Linked DNA regions of Macaca mulatta. The protein of the gene in region 1 purifies or fractionates together with the protein of each later gene. This does not show direct contact. Links are inferred from orthologs where the notes say so. Each region holds a gene or a part of one and is shown in the gene's direction. Other genes may lie near its edges.

Evidence for each region.
Region 2: the proteins of HECTD1 (region 1) and URGCP purify together in Homo sapiens (affinity purification with mass spectrometry; 4 studies listed by BioGRID and IntAct, with this or other methods). This does not show direct contact. The link is inferred for Macaca mulatta from reciprocal best matches to the Homo sapiens genes HECTD1 and URGCP.

What each region holds. Positions count from the first base shown.
Region 1 is NC_133412.1:104,252,533-104,256,356, reverse strand, and holds part of HECTD1 (E3 ubiquitin-protein ligase HECTD1), read left to right. Parts: intron 1-3,175; coding exon 3,176-3,824. UniProt on the Homo sapiens protein: E3 ubiquitin-protein ligase which accepts ubiquitin from an E2 ubiquitin-conjugating enzyme in the form of a thioester and then directly transfers the ubiquitin to targeted substrates.
Region 2 is NC_133408.1:84,482,393-84,485,427, forward strand, and holds the end of URGCP (up-regulator of cell proliferation), read left to right. Parts: coding exon 1-1,567; 3' UTR 1,568-2,314; downstream 2,315-3,035. UniProt on the Homo sapiens protein: May be involved in cell cycle progression through the regulation of cyclin D1 expression. May participate in the development of hepatocellular carcinoma (HCC) by promoting hepatocellular growth and survival.

The sequences.
Region 1 (3,824 bases):
TAGGTTTGTTTTCATCAATTTTGTATCAGTTTTTAGCATTAAAAAAAGTAAAATGTTTATATTCTCAACTTACAGCACATTTGTTTTTTGTTTTGCTTTGTTTTGTTTTGTTTTGTTTTTTTTTTTGAGAGAGAGTCTTGCTTTTGTTCCCTGGAGTGCAATGGTGTGATATCGGCTCACTGCAACCTCTGCCTCCCGGGTTCAAGCGATTCTCTTGCCTCAGTCTCCCAACTAGCTAGGATTACAAGCATGCGCCACCATGCCCGGCTAATTTTGTATTTTTAGTAGAGATGGGGTTTCTCCCTGTTGGTCAGGCTGGTCTCGATCTCCTGACCTCAGGTGATCCACCCGCCTCGGCCTCCCAAAAGTGCTGGGATTACAGGCATGAGCCACCACGCCCGGCAACTTACACCACATATTTAAAGAGCTAGAATAAATGTGAAAGTACTTAGGAGAATGACTGACATTTAATTTCATGTGTTATGTGGTAAAGACATTTATTTATTCAAATAAACCCTTTGATTATATTGCTTTTAAGTACTTAGGAGAATGACTGACATTTAATTTCATGTGTTATGTGGTAAAGACATTTATTTATTCAAATAAACCCTTTGATTATATTGCTTTTAAGATTCTATTTCTTGGATTATTTTACTGCCAGATGTTTTGATGTAGTATCAGGCCCTAATTGCAAATCATTTTAATCATACAGGTTTACAGTGACCTAAAATTCATAAATACCAGTAATAGTTGAGACATCAGTAGTACCATTCAACTCAGAAATTTCAAATTTTCTTGTTTTTTGGGCATCTTGATGATACTTATTAAAAAGTTGTTATTCTATTTCCTGTAATTGTTTTGGCCTTGATGTATGTGACTTGAGAAGAAGAGGCTAGTTAGAGGCGTGTGAATGCAGTTCTTTTTTCTCGGGATGGAGTCAACTGAAGCAATTGCATAGGGAAATTAGAATATTGTTTTTTCCCCCGAGATACAATGGCACAACAGTTTTAATACAACCACCAATCTTCACAAAATAATTTTAATACTTTGTGCCTGGACTAGCAGCATCTTGCACTGTGATATTCCTATACATACATAAGCATTTTATTGAAGTACAAATGTTAAAAGCAGAGTAACTTAAGCAATTGCCTATACAAAGGTAAATAGACACTGTAGGTTATTTTTCTTCTTGATTCATTTTTGCTGCATAGTAAGTTGCAATTACATTTCAGTATAATGTTACTGATCTATAAAATACATTTGAACTGTGAGGTATGGCATCTCCTTATGACAGAGTGCTCACATGTAAATCTGAATATTTTGAGTGTTTTTTTTTGTTTTATTTTGTTTTATCTGCCACAGATGGGAAAAACAGAAATCATGTAGCCTAGAAATTTCAGGGTTTAGCATTCAAGAAAGGCCTATTTTTGCTGATCTGACAAATGTAGAAATTTAGTTTTGGCTAATCAACATGGCCATTCCCATCAAGTTATGCCTTTAAGTCTCTATGTCAGAGAGGGTTCTTAGCTTTCAAATACTTAAGCCAACCATTTCTAATGATGGCTAGTCGTTACTGACTCTATTTTTTTTGTCTATCTTTTGGGCATAGAAGGAGTTGAGAGAGTATGTTTTTTGGGCCAATTAATACAATACAAAAGTTACTTTTATTTGAGATTGGGCTGTGTTTTTGAACCTTCTTCTTTTCTCACACATTTCTGTGTAGCAGAAGAGATAGTTAAATGTTGGTTCTTCAGAGATTATTTCAGCATACAGAAAACAATAGAGGCAATTGAAAAATCTCATCTAAGCTACTTATGTAGATTTGGGGCAGTCACTTTTCCTTTCAAAGAACACATATGCAGATAATCCCCACAGGTAATTCAATATTATTTCCCTCTGAGTGCCAGCATAAACATATGAACTTGGTGTATGTGTGGGTGGGCATCTGGGTGTGTGGATGGGTGTGTATGTGAACTTGGGCCCCTTTTATGTGTGGGTAAGAACTTTATAAAGGCTTGTTATAGTTTTAAAAAAATGTTTTTTGTGTCTTATGTTTTTCCCTGAAATAGTTAGCTTATAACACTAAAATAAGATTGTAAAATTTATATTAATTTTCTTTTAATAGACATTTTTTTTTTTTGCTTTTGGAGATTCATTACCTTTTTAAAAAAAGAATATTATTTTTCAACTACAAGTAAATATATAAATTGAATATCATTATGCTCATTAGTTCTGTACATGTTAGTAGCTTTAGCAGATAGTTTCTAATAAAAGAGCTCAGTATGCTCTTTAAATTTTTTTTTAGAATTTTCTGTGCTTATTCAAATTTATTGAACTTAATTATTTAACATAAGAGAACCAAGGAACCACTGAACTTTGAGAACACAACCGAAATGCTAACTTTAGTATTTTATTTGAGCTAGTGACCTAAAATTTCTGTGGTAATATATGAATATTTTGAGAGGTTAGCCAAAATTAATGGTAAGAAATTAATGGTAAGCTAGCACGTTTTTCTAGACAGAAAATTTGACTACACATAATTATACTTATTAATTTAAAAACTTTTACCTAGATTGTGTTTACTTGCAGAAGTGGCAGTATTTTACCACGTATATCAATCTTTTAAAATTTCTTAAACAGTTCTTCCATTTAAGAAGTAACCAAGCCAGGTGCAGTGGCTCACATCTGTAATCCCAGCTACTCAAGAGGCTGAGGTGGGAGGATCATTTAAGCCCAGGAGTTCAAGATTAGCATGGGCAACGCAAGACCTCATCTCTAAAAATCAAATAATTTTAAAAATGAAAAACAACCCAGTAGATTTAAACATGACCTTTACATTGCTTTTAAATGTCATAGACTGAATAGTTCAGAAATAAGGGAAATAAAAGGAAGAATTTTAAACATTTCCTGGAAACCCTTGTATACAGTACATATTTCTTGTCCTTAAAATATTTTTATCATGAGAGTTAAATATTATAGACTTTCAGATAACTAGTCATATAGTCAAATAATTGAGTCCAAAAATTTACATATATTTTAGTTGGCAGACCTTGATTGACTAGAAATTCAGAAAAGGACAGCACTGATGAAAAGCTGATCCCATATTGTGGAGCTACTGTCTGACACGCTCCTATCTGCTTTCTGCTGGGTCTCACAAACTCCTGTCCCTTTCCAGGCTGGATTGATGTCACCTGGGATGCTGGTGGCTCAAACTCTTACCGTATGGGCGCAGAAGGAAAATTTGACCTCAAGCTTGCACCAGGGTACGACCCTGATACAGTGGCATCACCCAAACCTGTTTCATCCACTGTTTCAGGCACAACGCAATCATGGAGCAGCTTGGTGAAAAACAACTGTCCAGACAAGACATCTGCTGCTGCAGGCTCCTCAAGTAGAAAAGGAAGCAGCAGTTCTGTGTGTAGCGTGGCCAGTAGCAGCGACATCAGCTTGGGTTCGACCAAAACGGAACGGAGATCAGAAATTGTAATGGAACACAGTATAGTTTCAGGAGCTGATGTCCATGAACCAATTGTTGTTCTTTCATCTGCTGAAAACGTCCCTCAAACAGAAGTAGGGTCGTCTTCCAGTGCAAGCACCAGCACCTTAACAGCGGAGACGGGAAGTGAAAATGCTGAAAGGAAGTTAGGCCCCGATAGTTCTGTTCGTACTCCTGGGGAGTCTAGTGCAATATCCATGGGAATTGTCAGTGTTAGTTCTCCTGATGTTAGTTCAGTATCTGAATTAACTAATAAAGAAGCAGCTTCACAACGACCTCTTAGCTCTTCAGCAAGTAACAGACTGTCAGTGAGTTCTTTGTTGGCTGC
Region 2 (3,035 bases), on another chromosome or scaffold:
AGACCACTCACATGTCCTGGTGAAGGTCAGCAGCACTGACAGCGACAGCTTCGTGAAGAGGATCCGGGCCATTGTTGGGAATGTGCTGCGGGCACCCTGCAGGCGGGTATCTGTGGAGGACATGGCGCACGCAGCCCGCAAGCTTGGCCTAAAGGTTGACGAGGACTGTGAGGAGTGTCAGAAAGCGAAAGACCGGATGGAGAGGATTACCAGGAAAATCAAAGACTCGGATGCCTACAGAAGGGATGAGCTGAGGCTGCAGGGGGACCCCTGGAGAAAGGCAGCCCAAGTGGAGAAGGAGTTCTGCCAGCTCCAGTGGGCCGTGGACCCCCCTGAGAAGCACAGGGCTGAGCTGAGGCGGCGGCTGCTAGAACTTCGAATGCAGCAGAACAGCCACGATCCCTCCTCGGGGGTGCAGGAGTTCATCTCGGGGATCAGCAGCCCCTCCTTGAGTGAGAAGCAGTACTTCCTGAGGTGGATGGAGTGGGGCCTGGCACGGGTGGCCCAGCCACGACTGAGACAGCCTCCGGAGACACTTCTCACCCTGAGACCAAAGCATGGGGGCGCCACAGACTTGGGGGAGCTGCTCTGGCCTGAGCCCCTGGGGGTGGAACACTTCCTGCGGGAGATGGGACAGTTTTATGAGGCCGAGAGCTGTCTTGTGGAGGCGGGGAGGCTGCCAGCAGGCCAGAGGCGTTTTGCCCACTTCCCAGGCTTGGCCTCGGAGCTGCTGCTGACAGGGCTGCCTCTGGAGCTAATCGATGGGAGCACCCTGAGCATGCCCGTCCGCTGGGTCACGGGGCTCCTGAAGGAGCTGCACGTCCGACTGGAGAGACGGTCAAGGCTGGTGGTTCTGTCAGCCCTCGGGGTGCCGGGCACGGGCAAGTCCACACTCCTCAACACCATGTTTGGGCTGCGGTTTGCCACAGGGAAGAGCTGCAGTCCTCGAGGGGCCTTCATGCAGCTCATCACAGTGGCCGAGGGCTTCAGCCAGGACCTGGGCTGTGACCACATCCTGGTGATAGACTCTGGGGGCTTGATAGGTGGGGCCTTGACCTCAGCTGGGGACAGGTTTGAGCTGGAGGCTTCCTTGGCCACTCTGCTCATGGGACTGAGCAATGTCACCGTGATCAGCCTAGCTGAAACCAAGGACATTCCAGCAGCTATTCTGCATGCATTTCTGAGGTTAGAAAAAACGGGGCACATGCCCAACTACCAGTTTGTATACCAGAACCTTCATGATGTATCTGTTCCCGGCCCCAGGCCAAGAGACAAGAGACAGCTCCTAGATCCACCTGGTGACCTGAGCAGGGCTGCAGCCCAGATGGAGAAACAGAGCGACGGCTTCCGGGCACTGGCAGGCCTGGCCTTCTGTGACCCTGAGAAGCAGCACATCTGGCACATCCCTGGCCTGTGGCACGGAGCACCTCCCATGGCCGCAGTGAGCTTGGCCTACAGTGAAGCCATATTTGAATTGAAGAGATGCCTACTCGAAAACATCAGGAACGGCCTGTCGAACCAAAACAAAAACATCCAGCAGCTCATTGAGCTGGTGAGACGGCTGTGAGTGTGCAGAGAAACCCAGTTCAGGTGTAGGAGGCTGCTGTGGGCAGCCCTGTCTGATGGGGCACCCGTGTGGGCTGTGCCCTGGTGCCTGAGAATGGCCGGTGCCCAATCGACATGAGAAGACAAGCAAAAGACAGAGGGTTTGGAGTCTCCTCAACAGTGTTAAGAGAGGAAGTGACCTCACAGACCAGCTCAGAGATGTTACCAGGAATATCACAACCCCCAGGGTAGGGAGACACGCAGCAGTTTGTTCTGTCTCAGCTCCTGTCAAGGATCCCACGGGGTGGGCCCTCTGTATAGCTGCTCTCTGTCACTGGCCCCTGGAGTGGGAGCAGTGTCCTCAGTCACTGCAGGCCCAGGCGGGCAGGTGGTCCCAGGACAGAGGTGGGGAAGTTGTCTTGAGGAAGCAGAAGTAGGCCTTGCTCCCGCCCAGCCCAAGGGCCTCCAGTGGACCAGCATTTGAGATGTGAGTGCCCGTGGTGCACAAGGCACTCCCATGGCACTGTATTTATTGACTGAAGGCTTCCCTGACCCCTGCCCAGGAAGAGTTCATTGGTCGCTCTGTTGTGCCCCACAGCACTTTGTTATACCTCTGCCACACACTTCACGCAGCGCGTTGTAACTCATGTGTTTACATGTCTGTCCCCCAGACTGTGAGCTCCTTGAGGGCAGGGACTGTACATTCTCCAGCTCTGTGTCCCCAGGGCCTGGCACATTATAGATGCTTAATAAATGTCTGTTGAATGAATGAATGCACAAGTGATAGTAATGGGCAGGTTCTGCCTCTCTGTGCCTTAATTCTGTTTCTCAAAGAGGAGAGCAGCATCTATCTGAGGACTGGGTATGGTAGAGGCAGTATCTGGAAGGGTAGATAGGGTAGAGATGTGCCCTATCCTGGCACATTTTAGTAAAAAGCCATCCTGTTCTCTCTCTTTAAGGCAGGAGCCATTCTTCAGGCTGTTACTGGGGGTTAAAACTAAATACCTTCACAGTAACTCTGAGGTCTTTCCACTGTCACCCCATTTCACAGTTGAGGAAAAGGAAGCCTAGAGGAGGTAAGCCCCTGCCCCAGAGCTCACATCTGGATGGACAGAGCTAGAGCGGATAAGGGGTGGTGCTGTCACACTCAGCCCTGCACCTCTTCCTCTCACCCTCTCCAGACTCCCATAGCTTCTGGGCTTACCCCTGGGCAGCCACGTCAGTGCCAGCGCCTCCTCTGACATCCTCCCCGACCTCATCCACAACCCACCATTCGAACCAGAGGCTTGGCCAAGAACTTGGGACTTCTGCCCTGTCAGTTCTGCTGGAATCCTTGCCTGCACTGGCCCCTCCCAGGGGCCAGTGTCACCTCACTGGGCCTCAGAACCCCACCCCAGCCCTTTCATCAGCTCTAGGAAGCTCTGCTTGATCCCCTGGGCCTTGCTTAGACGTTGGAGCCTCTTTCTCTTTGTGTTTCTTGACTTCAGAGA